Linked DNA regions of Saccharomyces cerevisiae S288C. Changing the gene in region 1 together with any one later gene gives a genetic interaction. Each region holds a gene or a part of one and is shown on either strand. Other genes may lie near its edges.

Region 1 (11,112 bases):
AGTCGGGACAAATTGATACAGCAGTCTCCACTTTAAAGATGAAAAATCGGATAGGATAATCAAAAGAATAAGGATTACACCCACATAGCCAGCATTGTAGAAAATGGCACCTGCAGCGTATCTTTGAACATCATAAGCTTGTGATTGAATAATTGTACCCACAACATATAGGATGACAGCACTAATGAAAAGGTATAGTCTACCAAACACATCAGACAACCTAGCGTATATGATTTGCGAAGCGGCACTGACCACAGCATTAATGACGTTGATTGTAGACAGCAGAGAATGCTCACTATAGGATGATGTGGCGTAACCAGTGTAAATATAACGGATGTTACCGTCCAGTCCATAACCGTAGCCACATATGAAAGCACTCAAAAGTAAAATCGCTTGTAAGTACCATTTATTGTAAGCAGAGCCAATGATTTCAGTCTGCTGGATAATTAGGCTCCTGTTCTGTCTCAAGGCATTGTATTTTTCAGATAACTGAGGGAGACCATATGAGTCGGAGTTGGAATCGTTATGAGTCTCAGGATTCAACTCGTGTTCCATTCCCATGAAGACATGTTTCTTTTCCTCCTTAACAGGATCGCGAGAGTGAACAGACTCCATTAGTACGTTGCTATGCAGTGGCTTGAACTACTGTCCATATATTTTTAAGAAAGAAAACAAGAGATATAGTGAACGAAAGCAAAAAGAGAGCTATCGAATGTTTCCTCCCCTATATACAATTATTCCTGAAATCTTCAGTTCTATGCATCTTGCATTACTTCATGTAAACTGTACTCCGATTTGCTTGGCCTTTTTTTCTCTTTGACACTATTTTCCTAACGATATGTGCTTGTTATATCACACCTGCTTTTATGGGTGCATTTTGATAAATTTGCAATCCCAAACAGGAAAGAAGTGAAAAAGGCCAAGACATATGTGGCTTTCTAACAAATACAGGCACACAAATTTCGTAAGAGAACAAGTCCTAAAGATGAACGTTAATGATAATATACAATTGTCTTCTCATTTCTGTTGATGGATTTTCATTCGCAGGTGTATTTTTCCATCGCTTCGTGATAGAGCTGCCAGTACGCTTCATCGCGGTCGCTTACATGCGTGATATTTAGGGGATCTTTCATTGGCTTCCGATCAGATAATATGTATCATTAGTCAGCGGAAGTTACAGGTGGAAACCCTCCCCACCTTGATAGTTGTCTTGATTGTATAGGCCTGTAATCTATTACTATTATTCTATTGGAGTCCTGCTCGTTGTTCGTTCAAGGCGAATGTGCCTGCGATGAGTTGACTATGAAAAAGAAAATTTTTCAACTTGAACTTGACCATTCCAACAAAGAAGAAATGATGGAAGTAAAAAAGACTAAGGAATCAAGCTTGGTGAAGCTACCTCGTCATTTAATTAACGAACTTCTGCATGATCACCCAAACTGAGCTAGATAACTGCTTACAATGGGCTCAAAATAATGGAGCCTTCATCGATCCGAAAATCTCTTTTAGGATTACAGAGGATGCTGGTGTTAGTGCATTTGTAAACGAAAAATTCTCTCCCAAACCCGACCAAGCTTTGATTAGGGTACCCGAAACTCTGCTGATCACTTCCCAGCAAGCTTTATCAGAATTTTCCCAGGCTGCTAATGAAAGGAGTCTTTTGAATTCCGTGACACAGTTGTACTTGTCAAAGTTGAAATTTGGCACCGATGCAGTTCACCTGAAATCCTTTTACAAACCATATTTAGATGTGCTACCCTTGCACCTTCCACAACCATATTTTTGGTCTACTGATGAAGTCATGAATTTGCATGGTACAGACGTGTACTTAACTATGAGAGATACGCTGAACAAACTAGTAAAGGAGTGGAGGATGCTGTTCCAAGCTTTATCTATTGAACACTCTTCTCAAGATAAGCAGTTCTTGTCTTTATTCCAGGAGAATAAAGACTCTGCCGTAGTGCCGTTGGAACAGTTCTGCGCACACATCAATGGATGTAAACTAGAAGATTCGGAATGGAACTCGTTCGTGGCGTATCTTTGGTCGTACTGCATCTTTAATTCTAGGGCATTTCCTCGTGTCATTTTAGGCAGGGCCGGTACAGACCGCACCAATCTGAACGAAGGATTTTTGTATCCAATAGTAGATTTATTAAACCATAAAAACGATGTACCAGTAAGATGGGAGATGAATGAACAAAATGAACTTTGTTTCATGTCGCAGACTACCACATTTAGTGCACAGGATGAATTGTTTAATAATTATGGTAATATTTCTAATGAAAAATGTTTGTTAAACTACGGGTTTTGGGATTCCTCGAATAAGTTTGACTTCTCTAGGTTGACTTTAAAGCTACCATCCACCTTAGTTAGCGGTTTGCCCGTGGATTTTAACAAATCAGGTAATTTTGTTACTGACGATGGAGAAACTACCATTTTACAATTTAGTTTAAAAATTTCTGAACCATTACCACCGGTTCTACTAGCGTTATTTGCCTACCTAAGTAAATTAAAGTCTGAAGAAACTCCAACCGTAAGGAGCGTATTGGAAGGTATTGATCAATTAACATCTGTAGTATCCCAGAGATTGCTGTTTTATAAGAATTTTAAAATTAAAACTTCTTCGACTCAAAAATTACGCCCTCATGTTATTAAACTAATCAAACTATACTATCAAGATAACAAAAAAATTCTGAACGCCACTACTGAGAAATTGTCCGTTTTACAAAAAAAAATATATAGCAATAATAAGGAGTTTTCTCTGTCATTCAAGACAATTTTTAAAAACGACAAAATATTTGCCAATTCTCTCTTACTGGTATTTGGTGCTATAAATTACGAAGATTTGATCACAAAAGACTGTCTTAATGACGCATTGTTGCTCTGGATAGTCAAATTAATCAACGATAAAAGTAATAATCAGGGAGGTTTCATTAAACAAACCTTCAAAGAAGTTAGTGATTCAATTGTCATTGAAAAAGAAGATGTTATGGAGTTTTTGCCGTTCTATAAAAAATACTTCCCTAATTTATCGGAGAGAATTCCAGAAATTTATAGTGTCGGTGATTGGGGCATAAGACAGTTCATTGTGGCAGATACTGCGATTGATAGATTGGTTTGGATCAGGAAATCAAATAAAGAGCCTATATTTCTAATGAAGAAGGCATACGACTTACAGATTTAGCTTTGATCTGTAGCCTAAGTATAAAATTCTACGTATGTATATATTTACATGCAATTTTTTCTTTTTCCAATTCATGTTAATGTTCTTCATCATTTGATAATAGGCCAATGATATTATCTACTATCTTCTCCTTTTGAGGAGAAGCTGCTTTCACTTCCTCGTTGCTTTTCTCTTCGTATAAATACATGAATTTCGACTTGTCCAGCATTTTTTTATCAATACAATGCATGTGCCCATGAAGTTCTACCTCCGACAAATCTTTAACAAAATATGTCGTTATTTGTGTCATGAATTTCAGTAGGGTTTGAAATATTTCGGGTATGGCGTTCTTCTTATCCAGAATAACAATTTTGTAGTTTGCTGATAATGTTATTGGACGAAGCTGGATGGGCCTATTTACGCGGAACTTTTCGCCATATATTTCCTGTTCGAAGTATAAAAGTTGGTTGGCCAATTTCTTTAATCCGTTTGCAGATTGTAGCGATTGTTCATTCGCAAAACCAGGTTCTATTGTTGCATTTATTGACTCAGTGAAACCCACCAACTCCATTAAAGTTGGTCTTAAATCATCTTGCATAAACTTGTACAAGTTTGGCTGGAAAATTCTAATCATTTTCGATTTTGTCAGCACGGTTTGCAAAATTAATGTGATGTGTTCAAATCTTGATAAAGTCGTTTCATCATTTTGGAAAATAGAGAATTGGTTCCATTTCATTTCTGAAATTACCAGTGCGGAATATGTTTGTAGGTCATGAAGAAAAGAGTCGTATTTTGTCTTGTAGTTGATCAGAGAAGCTTGGTCCGTGGGTATTTTCATGGACTCGGTCTCTTGATATTGCTTCCATATATATGAGTCCCAAACATTCCAACTAAATTGAAAGGAAGGCGCATTATCGTTACCAGAGAAGGAACGGATGCTTTTCTTGTTACGTTGTAAAATGGTGAATATATTGTAGAGAATGAAATTTTTGCAAAATTCAGCCCTCAATTGCCGGATGGAGAAGTCGTTTGATAATATTGTAGCTCTTAAAATGTCTCCAGGGCACGTTCTGTCTTTGTTTGATTGTTTGCTCCACAATGTCTTATGGCTAACCGATCTTTCTAAAAGTTGCTTCAAAGTGACGACATTACCACCAGCGATTCGAGTTGTGGCACTGTTTGCATCCAGATAGAATGGTTTACCCTCTTCGTTCGCCAGTATCCGACCAGCGTTAGCCTTCTCAATGCGCTTTCGTTCATTCAAGGTGCAAAGTGGCGAAGCTATCTTGGTCTTCAATTTGTCTACCTCAGTAACGAAAAATTCTCTATGTTTATCTACAAAGTAAGGGAAAATACCAATTCCATCGAATTCCCCAATCATCGCCTCATCGGAAACCTGGAAAAGAGGCAAGGGCTTTGCATTAGCTGGGTTTACAAACATGGGTACCTCACCATTATTTTGTTCCAAGAGTCTATCGTAAGTGCTCTTCTTAACCCCGATTCCCCGACAAAAGTTTGAAAATATCGACTTAGGCCAAATTACACGCTGCAGTTTCAACTTATCATCTTTGCATCGTACCCTTATTAATTGTTGCCACTCGAAAGATGGCTTGAAGTCCTCATCCATTTCGCTGAACAACTTCTCGTAGAGACTTAAGGGGTGGTCAAACATAGGCGCAATCCGTTCCCAGTGTTGGATCCTCTTCTTCGAGGATTTTTGAGTTAGATCTGTTCTAACAATCTTGAATGCGTGTTCGCGAGGGGCGTTTATATCACGTAATAGCAGTTTTTGCAAGTCCGTGAGTGAAATATTATACAGTACTCCTTCAAGATCACAATATTCATAAGATAAGTTTGTCTTCTTAAACGCTTGCTTACAGCGAGGGAACACCTGATGTGTGATATTCTCCATGTTGAACTTATACCTGTAACGAGAGGAACTGCCCTGTCTCCTCAATGAGACCATGAACAATGTTTGCCAATTCACCATTTTGGTCACTCTGTCTCAAACCTTTCCTTCAGCGCAGCCTTACTCCTTCAAGAGAAGCCTTCATTGTCCATTCACTTAAGCATAATTTGTCATCTTCAATGCAATTGAACTTTCACTAAATACACCCATACACACCAATCTTGGATTCTACTCGGCGGCAATCTTCACTCTTTCCTTTGTTTTATCATTTTCTATTCCACCTTTAGTTCCCCAACTTCACCTCTTATCGAACTATCAACACATTTGACTATCATTTTGGCAAATTCACTCACGTGAGGGCGTGTGCTAACCATGCAAGGGTTATGGCATGCGCATCCATGTGGCGTTTCCTACTTTTATTTTTACATAATATATAAGATAATTGCACATGCAAACAGTCAATCTTTTTCCTGCAATTGATGTGGAGACCAAAAGGTTTGCATCTCCTAGTACCACGATTTTTTGGTGCAAAAGTGTTGATAATGTAATTCAGGTAGAAAAGGTAGAAGTTTCCTCTAGTATGTTCACAGATTGGATTAGAAAAAAAGATCACGCGACTCTTGCCGGAAAAAACTGTGGCGTCGCTGCATATATATGACAAATCAATCATATAGATTAGAGGCCTGCCTGAGTCAAGGGGCAAAAACAATACACATATAAAGACCTGGATGCTTATCGATGATCTGTACATTCTGTTTGTAGTCTAAGTTGCTGAGGGCAACGTAGACGTACAGTGCTCAAAATAAGTAAAAATGGAACCGCTGCTTTTTAATAGTGGGAAAGCAAATCCCTCTCAAGATGTTTTCATAGATGTGGAAGTTGGTGATATTACCACAAAATATGGTTCCACAAATACTGGATCATTCAGTTCGATGGATACTGTGGAAGCGCAGGCGATAAAGGCAGAGACGGCAAGATTCATGGAAGTTCCACAGGGAAGACATTTAGGTGTGTTCTCCACGGTTGTGTTATTTGTTTCGAGGATAATGGGGTCAGGTATATTTGCAGTACCCAGTGTGATTTTACTGAATACAGGTGGTAATAAGCTGATATATTTTGCGATCTGGGTTTTTAGCGCTGCGATCGCTTTTGCAGGATTGTATCTTTTTCTAGAATTTGGTTCCTGGATACCGAAATCAGGTGGACGTAAAAACTTCCTCGAACGGAGTTTTGAAAGACCCAGACTATTAATTAGTGTGGTGTTTTCGTGTTACAGTGTTTTAACTGGCTATGCATTGACGGGATCTATCGTCTTCGGTAAATACGTGTTGAGCGCATTTGGAGTCACGGATGATTCGTGGTCCAAGTACGTCAGCATATCATTTATAATATTTGCCGTTCTCATTCACGGTGTCTCTGTAAGGCACGGAGTGTTTATACAGAACGCACTTGGTGGTTTGAAGTTGATCATGATTGTCTTGATGTGCTTTGCCGGGCTATACACGCTTTTCTTTTATAAAAGCACCGGTCAAGTTGCCTGGGACCTCCCAGTAACCCAAGTTGAGAAAGATTCTCTCCTGTCGGTGTCCTCTATTGCTACTGCCTTTATCAGCTCATTCTTTTGTTTTTCTGGATGGGATACAGTTCACACAGTTACATCAGAAATTAAGAATCCCGTTAAGACGTTGAAGGTGTCAGGTCCCTTATCGTTGATAATTTGTTTTGTCTGCTACACAATGATGAATGTGGCATACTTGAAAGTTTTGACATATGAGGAAATTGTTAGTGCAGGCCCCCTGGTTGGTTCCGTGTTGTTTACCAAACTTTTCGGACCCAGAGTTGGTGGCAAATTCATTGCTTTTTCTATCGCCATTTCTGCAGCATCTAATATTCTGGTTGTCATTTACAGTATATCAAGAGTTAACCAGGAAATATTCAAAGAAGGTTATTTACCATTCAGTATTCATATGTCCAAAAATTGGCCATTTGATGCACCTCTACCATCTATTTCTTTATGTGGCTTTATAACCATTGCTTGGATATTGATTTTACCCAAAGAGGGCGAATCCTTCAATTATCTGGTATCGATGGATGGTTATGGTAATCAGTTTTTCTTATTATTGGTCGCTATTGGGCTCTTTATTTGGAGGTTCAAACACAAGAACGAAGTCCCAGAGATTCGTGCATCTACTTTTGGAGTATTAGCCATTATTACATTATCATTATACATGTTGATGGCACCATTCTTTGCCGACCCTAGCCTAAACAGAGTTGGGTTCCTGCCGCCCTACCAAATCATGTCATTACTGGTAATAGTTGCATGCTTCTTTTTCTGGTTAGTTAAATTCGTTTTACTACCTAAATTCTTCCATTATAAACTTTTACCCAAAATCACTTATTTGCATGATGGGCTCATTGTCACAGAATGGGTGAAAAAGCCATGTCTGTGTTAGTTTTTCCTTTTCTACATAAATATTTTATAGACTACTATTGCATTTTTAATAAATAATATTCATCCTCATCTTTGAATAAAAGAAAGAAACATTCGATTATTTCATCATCTTACTTGATTGCTTGGCTATTTGCTTCAAAAGCTCTAGGCCCCCACTGTCACGACACATACTATAAAATATACCGCGTTCATCTTTCAACAGTTCACTAGGGCGATCATATTCTTTTACCTCACCGGCATCCATCACAATTATCCTGTCGTAATCGATAACAGATCTCAAACGATGTGCAATAGTAAGAATTGTGCTTTTATTAAACTCACTTCTTATAATACCCTGAATTAAATGGTCAGAATCGTAATCAATAGAGGAAGTAGCCTCGTCCAAAAGTATTATCTTTGGCTCGCGTAACAATGATCGTGCAATAAAAAGCAATTGCCTTTCACCTTGGGACAGATTTAAGCCGCCCTCAGCTATTTCTGTGTGAAGATTTAAAAATTTATTATGAGTGCTGTTAAAGCGTTCCTCCGAGTTAAGCACTTCTTCAAATTCATGTGAAGAAATTAGATTTACTTGTGAAAGTGCTTTGAATATTTTTTTTTCATCATATTCATCATATGGATCAACATTACTTTTGATTGTACCTGCAAATAGAATAGGGTCCTGAGGGATGATAGTAATGGAACGACGTAATGTAACGAGATCAATTTTACTTATATCCTGCCCATCTATTTTGATACATCCGGTTATTGGTTCTAGTAATCTGAATAATGCCGTTATTATGGTAGATTTGCCTGCGCCAGTTCTTCCGACAATCCCAATCTTACTTTGAGGATCCACTTTGAAACTAACATTTCTTATGACAGGAGGCAAATTTGGCGCGTAACGTAAAGATAAGTTTTCAATTTCAATTTCTCCATCTTTTGGCCACGATGGTTCGTTTAGAAGTAGAATGCGGCCTTCATCATGGCCAAGATAGTTCTCTTGTTCAATGCTAGAATATTCTTTTAGTCTTTCAACAGAGTTCATGTTCATTTCAAATGTTGAGTACAGTCTAACTAACCATAAAGCACCATCTGTAAACAAAATGGCATATGTCAAAGAAATGCCGGCAAGACCCGAGTCAATATTTGCAATATTGAGCAGAATAAAAGAACCTGATGCTAAAACAATGAATGCGCCAATCATGTCGACTCTAAAAGAAAACCATTTGACAGTAACTGATAAATAAAAGAATGCTCTGTTATTTTGGTCAATTTTGTTCATATTTTCTAAAATGAATCTCCTCTCGTCGCCAAATGCACGAATTGTGCAAACGCCTACCAAGGTCTCTGAGAAATGTTGAAAAATGGGTGATTTGGTTATTGAATCTAACCTTTTCAATTCTCTACTTGCCGTTAAGTACCATTTCCCCACAAAGAAATATAAAACAAAAACGATAACGGCGACTGTCAAAAAGCGAGGAGTTATTACGGTAATGAGAAATATAATTGATGCGCATTGAATTAGGCAAAATATAGTTACTTCTAAGTATGGAATCAATTCTTGATCAACACCTTCGATGTCCTTTGAAAAGCGATTCATGATTCTACCAACCGGCGTCACGTCGAAAAATCGTATTTGGGCATGTAGAACTAGATCTAGCAGATTATTAAAGATCTTTCTGGAGGCTCGCATACCGGATAAAAACGTCATCATTGTTTTAAAACCACCTAGCATTGCCTGAATGATACCAATAAGAAAATATACGGTTAAGTAATAAAATGCATTATGTTTATTTTTCGAAGAGTCGGTCATCCCTTTTAATGGCAGCGTGTCCATCGCAAAACCTGGAGCATTTATTCGTACATTGGTATCGTTGACCCAATGTCGTATCCACCAAGACTGACTGATGAACAAAATTTGAGCTGTGATATAAAGAGCGAACAGGGCTGTTAAAGCTTTGAAGCCTCCAAAAAATTTCAGGTACCATTTATAAACATCGGGGCTTATGGCACCGTTTGATTTTTCTTCCTCTTCTATTAGCTGGCCATCATTGACAAAATTTGCATCAAAATTTATGTTCTCGGTGACAGGTTCGATTTTCTGAGAGTCATTTTTTCTGGGAGCTTTTAATCTATTAGCGTTCTTTTCATTAATGCTATCTCGAGAAGAAAGTTGAACATATTTTTCCTTAAAAAGCCCTTTGCTTTGTAATTCTGTAATAGTTCCTTGATTCTTCACTTTGCCATTTTCCAACACAATCGCGAAATGGGCATTTCTAAGTGTTAATGAAACATTGTGCGTAACTAAAATGCAGGTTCTATTTTTCATTAGTGGACCTGTGATGCAATTTTCATAGATCCATACAGCAGTATGTGAATCGACAGCGCTCAAACAATCATCTAGTAAGACATGCTTAGCACTCGAATAAACAGCTCTCGCCAAGGAAATTCTCTGTTTCTGCCCTCCTGATAAAGTTATACCCTTTTCACCAATTTCTGTTAGGTCACCTGCTGGTAAAATCTCCAGGTCTCTTTTCAGCCCACATGCATCAATTACTTTGTTGTACCTATCCTCGTTATAGAAGTTATCAAAGATAATATTGTTTTTTACCGTGTCATTTAATAGCCACGCACTTTGTGAACAATATGCGAAGGAATTGGTTAAACCTTCGCAGTCGGGAATTAAATCATGCTTTGGTTCTAAGCTCGGAACAATGATAGAGCCACTAATTAGATTTAGTTCACCCAGTAAACCCAGCAGCAATGCACTTTTACCAGATCCTGTAGAACCCAAAATCAAATTTAACTTACCAATTTGAAATTTAATATTCAAACCACATAATTTGAATGCATTCATATCGCTGTCATTTTCATTCCAGGTTAAAGTCGCATTTTTAAATTCAATTTTATTTTTGTCTGGAGATATGGTTAGTTGATTATATTTTTCTGTATCGTCCATCCTTAAAAAATCGCTTATTCTTTTTAGAGAGACTTTTGATTGATTTATGAAACTTAGCATATTTGATAATTGATCCAGGGGTGTCTTTAACAAAGTGAAGAGTGACAAAGTAGTGAAAGCAAGCGGGGCATTCAAATCTTCATGTTGAACAAATGTACAGATGGCGAAAGTGACACCTGTCACCAAGGTCGGTGTCACGAACCAAAGAAAAGAAGTTACGGACCACACCAAAGATTTTTTTAATAAGGATCTTAATTCCTTTTGCCTTATTGATTTGATTTCATTTATAATATTCCTTTCCCAAGCAAAATATTTGACAATTCTTATGTTCTGTAAGCACTCGTTCAATTTTGAGATTCTTTGGTCAGTACATTTCAGTGTTTGCTTTTGAAACTTACCTAACAAATTCGCTAACAAGAAATTCAATGGGAACATCACTAAGATAATTGAAATTCCTGCAAAAGCTGAAACACCTAAAAAGTTGAAAAGTAGTCCTACAACAACTATTATCATAATTACTGCCTGAACTGTCACATAAAGGTAGTTTGCTAGTTCCGATACCTTAAATGAGTCAATAGAAATGAGATTAATTATGGTACCAAGGTTTGCGGAGATACTATCTGAATCAGAGCTGGTTTTTGGAGATG
Region 2 (5,974 bases), on another chromosome or scaffold:
TATTCACAATGGTGCATGCTTGAAGCACAAACTAGATTAATTTGTTGAGTAAATCATGTGGTTCCAAGGAACAAAAAAAAAAATGCATTACATCACGTTCCTTGCTCTGTATCTCTTCACCTGCAATTACTCAAAAGAAAAAAAGAAATATAATTTTCCTTTGAGCACCCTTGGTAACTTATCTAAGAACACGCGATGTAATCGAAATTTAATAACCTAAAAAAGAAATAGAGATCGGTGACGTTTGACGCTAGCCAATCTCCACGAGATTTATCTGGAAGGGCATCACCCGTCAAAACACTAAGAAATTTGACACCTTATTTTTTTTTCTCCGAAACGTTCTGAGACGTTTCTTTTTTTTTCAGGACGCCACCCTAAATCCGAAAAACCTTACTTGGCATTAGTGTTGTAAAAATTTCTTTTTTCCATCGTGGTTCTGAAAAGCTTGCAGAAAAAAAGTTCGAGAACGTTTTCGTATGACTTATTAAGCTGCCCTTGAACTTGCCTTCCCTCTTCTTTACTATTTTCAGCCAGGGACAGAAATAAAGCAAAATCGTTTAACTTTTATGACCGTAACAGGTAACAATATCTGCTCAATTCGGTTAGTAAAAAAAAAAAGGTTATCGTAGGTTTACTATTTTCACATCGGTGCATAGAATCTATACTCTACTTCCTTTGGAGGGAATTTAGTAGTGCTCGATTAGCAGATAACAGCGCAGGGTTCTATGTAGTACGAAGCACTATCAGGTTTTTTAACGTACGTGAGTTGTTTTTTGTTTCTAATTTTTGGCTTGCCTGGGATAAACGGTGCCCATCAAATTATTAAGACCTGGTGAAAAGAGCGTACCTACATGGGTATCGGGGTTTTTGCCAGAAAGAGCTTTAACTGCAATTGATGCCTACCGGAGATTATTTTGATATCAAAATGCAGGAACGATATCTACTTCCCTAAAGCAGAAAACAAAACATTTTTTTAAAAGTCTTTCTTATATAAAGGTAACCTTCATTTCATGATAGCCAGATGATAATCTTAATGTAACAATTGGAGGATACCAGCATCCCTCCACACCTTCAAATGTCTATACCCCATTCCGTATTTTCGGCACTCTTGGTCTTCGTGGCGCTAGCTACTACAACCTTAGCCAGTACAGAAGCTTGCTTACCAACAAACAAAAGGGAAGATGGTATGAATATTAATTTTTATGAGTACACAATAGGCGACCAAACCACATACTTGGAGCCTGAATATATGGGCTATGAATACTCCAATACAAAGAAGTTAGGTTCCGTTAGCGGACAGACCAATCTCTCCATATACTATAGTCCGCCTTGTGAGAGCACTCCTACCTGTGTGACTTATGCAGTTTTGAAGCGTGATGAGGATGGATATGATCCTTGCGGACCTCTTTATGAAACTAAAAAACGTGACACTGAATACTGTGACCCAAATACTGCCTATTGGAGTTCTGATCTTTTTGGTTTCTATACTACTCCAACTAATGTAACTGTGGAAATGACAGGGTACTTAATATGGAGTATGGGCAACCGACGCCGTTGAACCTCTCCTTGGAGATTCTGATAATTTTATGACCATGACTTCTCGTGCACCTTACAGGAAACTTTAATGGCCTGATAAGTACAGCTATATTGTGATCACAATTATTAAAAACTAACTCATTTCATCTATAACCAAGTACAAATCGCACGACTATCATGACGATAAAAGCGTATATCCTTGATTTAATTCACATCACAATCACCCCCCTTGAAAAAAAAATAAATTTTTTTTCTTGCTATAATAGCATAATTGTCCACAAGTTCACTATTAGTGCTATCATTCTTCCCCACTGCCGCAAAATTGCAAAGGAAATAATTGTTTGCCCTGCAGGAACCATATACTAAAGAAGAAATAGATGCTATTAGCCTCTTCAACTGTCCGTAATCACTACATCTTGAAAGGTAAAATGCAAGTAGCAATGTGTTTACTTAAGGAAGCGCATCTACATCTTCTTTAGAACCATCTGTCGATTCAAGCGGATTAGAAAGAGGAAGCGTGATAAGCGCACACTGACACTTTGTCGTAAACTTATCAACTAATGTGCTATCACAATGCTTAAGAGAGAAGACAAATTTGGATATATCGAACAAAAAATTCCAAGCCTCCGACTCTGCATTTTGATCGTACTGATTCACAACATCTACCAATGCGTCGGCTATTTCTAGTGCTTTCACTGATATCCCTGGACCGTGAACTGCATAAAGATTTTTTGGGATTAAAAATGTGTCTTCTAACATGTCTCTAGCAATTTCTACTGGAATATGCGTATTCTTGCTATTTGAAAGGAAACTGATTCGCATACCGCTTATTTGAAGCACTAGCTTCCAAGCAAGTGTTCTAATCCAATGCCGTGAAAAAGATATGTCTACATAGCCGTAAGACCATGGTTCTATCTCAAGTGGCACCGTATGAAGTTCCCTCCATATCTTTTTAAGGGAGTCTTCAGTACAGGTTACATTAGCAGAGTCGGTAGCTAGAGCATCAAAGAAGCATTTTCCCGGTACAGTAAATACCCTAATCATCTCCAAGAAGCTGTCGAGAGATAGTCGGGGGTCCGTTACGTTCTCCGGTTGTGGTGGAGCAATCGTGGTATCCAGGCTCGTGGCGCAATGCGTATACACAGAAAAGTATCTTTCCGTTAAGAGAAGCAAATAATAAACTTTCCTTCCAAGCTGCTGCTCATCGAAAGGAAGAAGTTTCAAAGTTTCCTCGCGATGGAACCCCGCCAACTTAATGAGCCCCACGGCTTCACAAGAAAGCCGATACGAAGTTCTTGAGTTGGACATCTGTGCGTAGCAGCGGTTTAGACAATAGTACGTCATAATCTTGAATATATCACTACCGTTAAAATCGTCAAATTCTTGGCGTGATGACATGCAGAAACTGGATAACTGTATCCCAGTAAAGGTAACCCCTCCTTCCGACTCAATTTCAGTCTGCAAATCGCTAAGCGTGGCGGCAGAAAGAGATACCAGGAACCAATACACACAGGTTTCGTCATATCTTTTCTCTAAAAGTTCGTAAAGATCATCATAACACAGCAAAGGCCAGATCACATACAACTTATCATTATAGAGCCGCAGACACTGATCAATTAGTGCCTTTGGAACCTTCATTATGCCACCACTACTACTTTTACTAAATACCTGTACATCATCTACTTTCTTTAAATTTCTCACCTTGACGGGTTTTGGACCTCTTTTCTTCAAAGGTCGAAGATATGTACATTGCAGATTGTGTTGAAGACAACATTTACATGGTTTTTTACGATCACACTTTACTCGACGAATGCAACAACAGTCGCACGCTTGTCTATTGCGGGCCATCTTCGAACTAGAGCTCTTTTACTTTAGCTCTTTTGACAAGACAATGAAGCATTTCTTGAAGGTTTTCTTCTTTTCTCCGTATTTAAGTCAACAAGATATAGCTAATTTATTAAGCCGGGGGTGGGGAAAAACGCGGTAGTAACGTGGGGTACTTTAAAGTGGGGGAGATGGCACAGACAAAGCCGCAGGTACCTCGAGAACTCAGGGGAAAAAGGAACGCAGTTCAATAAGCTACCGATTTGGCAGATCTCAGGAGTAAAAATATAAATCTTAGTGCACATACAAGTGATAACTGCAACTCCAGATTTTTCTTTCGGTCGATTCGTTGATGCAACAATGTCGAAATTATAGTTAGGCGTTTGTTCCTGTAATTTAACTTCAAGTGGAGGAGTCAATGTTCTTTCCTATGTTCTATTTGTGGGATAGAAAAGTTAAAAAGAAGGTTTTTGAGTATCCCAGTGATAGTGCAGTACTACTTCTGTGTATTCCCGATTATTACAACGGCGGAGTTTTTTTCGCATAAACTCAGACTACTAAGTAACTCTCGAGCATCGTGAAGATCCTGATACTTTATCTATGCATTACGTACGGAACGGAGTGAGGCCTTTCTCCAGAAAAATCGTTGAGATGGCATGTAGGTTCTAGATTTGTGACGACACTCAACAAGAAAAGTTTGAGGTGAATATCTTACCCGCGACATCTGGAGCGAGAAGAAAGCCGTAATCGATAACGTATTCTCTCAATGCTGTGGCGTTTCAGTAGTATTTTGTTATTACCGACGAAAACGGTTCCTCAAGAAATAAAATATATCTAGAGGTAAGTTGCAAAACGCTAGACTATTTATGGCAAGATTAGTATTTGCTGTCGTGATATCATAAGTAGAGACACATGTTCAGCTTCTCACTTGAATTTAGGTTAGAACAAAATCTTTAAACAGCAGTTACAATGAATGTTTGGGAGACCTAGTCAGTCTCCATACTGCCAAGAAAAAGGTTAGTCGAACTGGAAAAACAAGGCTGTACTGCACCCTAATGTTTCTTAGTAAGCAATTCGCTATCGACGCCGAATACCATGAACATCAACCTTGTGAAAGCTTTCGCATATTGGCGCTCAAGAGATATAGACGGTACTAGTGAAAGAGAGACAAGGCCGCCGGATTACTTGCTCTCGTCATTGTAATTGTTCAATTTCACAGACATTTCTCTGGCATGTATCCATTGGGGCACCACAATAAGGGAATATTTTACAATATCGTAAGCTGTTCGTAATACGCGGCTTCTCTTTACTCAAAGCCCAATGAATCCTGGCTTCGAAAATCATACAAACTGTGAAATCTACTTATTTGAAATGACAAACACTGCTTCCCAGTCTGGAGGCTCTCTTTGAGGATAACTAACATGTATGGCTAAAAATAGTTAAAATAATTGAGACGACATTGCACTTGCTATAATCAGACTTCAATAACATATGCATACAAGAAACTTCTCTTTTGAAATAGGAGCGGGGCTCCATCACAAAGAGATTGAAATTTGATACTAGCTCTAAAATCGAGGCAGGGATGTTCCAATGATCGAGTTTGTCATGAAATATAAGGATGTTCACGTCAAGCTCGAGAAATGTTTCAAAATACCGCGAAATAACTCAAAAAGCTGGGTCACGAAGAAATGATTCTAGAAACAGGCGCTTATGCTCTTATATAATGAGATGTCTACATCGTCAGAACTAAGTGCGAAGAATACGGCCTACATTAGAGATTCTTCAAGGTAGTGAAACGTATTCGTGGCAGTGGTTATGGAACTGCCTTACGGTTGATTCAAAAGACTCATTGCATACTCAATTTAAAACGGCTCAAATCATTTGAAAAAATAATAGGCAATATAAAATAGAGAAATCACAGCACCTTGACGGACTGATATTACGAATAACGAGTATCATTGCCAAAGTTTGGCGTATGGGCGACGTGCGTCCATGCAAATCTACAGTAGATATTTTCAAAAGAGATCATTGTCAAAAAGATAACTAACTACTCATGCTTTGAGGGCATGCAAAGTTTCCAGAAAAAAAAAGATGAACCACACTTAAGCTGAAGCAAATTATAAGTGTTGAAATGACTAGGCGCAGTTAATACGCAACTCAATCAGTCAACACAGGCTGGTTACTTTCTAAGTTACAGCATAAGTTTAGAGTAATTATTGAAATCTGTTGATATAGGTTGATTTCTTAGATGCATGAAATGCAGCAAGATCTTCATATGATTTCAGAGATTAGTCAAAAAGTTGTTAACAGTCATGCATAATATCACTAATTGGTAGAACAAGAATCAACTACTTTATTTGTCAATATTTTCAGAGAAAAATTGATGTATAGGGTTGACCATAAAATAATGAATGACACCATTTTTTTTTTGAAAGAGAAAACAAGATACAAACATTTAAAATATGCTGTTGAGTTCAATGCCTTCCATGAATTAATAAGATTAGGAAAAAAAATTACAATACATTCTATACTTCTAATACTACGATCTTTATTGAAATCGAATCCGAAATAAGAGAATCATAAAACTTAGATTGCTATCCTAGAACTTGTTCAT

The links. A genetic interaction does not mean that the proteins touch.
Region 2: mutations in CBP2 (region 1) and ZNF1 together harm fitness more than expected from each alone (negative genetic interaction), as found in Saccharomyces cerevisiae (one large-scale study listed by BioGRID).

What each region holds. Positions count from the first base shown.
Region 1 is NC_001140.6:20,357-31,468, forward strand, and holds CBP2 (Cbp2p), read right to left. Parts: upstream 5,154-11,112; coding exon 3,261-5,153; downstream 1-3,260. Other genes in the region: ARN1 (siderophore transporter), read right to left, coding at 1-615; EFM1 (protein-lysine N-methyltransferase), read left to right, coding at 1,427-3,184; YHL037C (uncharacterized protein), read right to left, coding at 5,422-5,823; MUP3 (Mup3p), read left to right, coding at 5,885-7,525; putative ATP-binding cassette multidrug transporter VMR1, read right to left, coding at 7,622-11,112. UniProt on the Saccharomyces cerevisiae protein: Appears to be specifically required for the splicing of the terminal intron (bI5) of the cytochrome b pre-mRNA. Can also stimulates the splicing of the omega intron of the precursor of large ribosomal RNA.
Region 2 is NC_001138.5:25,642-31,615, reverse strand, and holds ZNF1 (DNA-binding domain containing protein), read right to left. Parts: upstream 3,385-5,974; coding exon 1,987-3,384; downstream 1-1,986. Other genes in the region: YFL051C (uncharacterized protein), read left to right, coding at 1,076-1,558. UniProt on the Saccharomyces cerevisiae protein: Transcription factor that regulates respiratory growth and plays a critical role in stress adaptation during non-fermentative growth.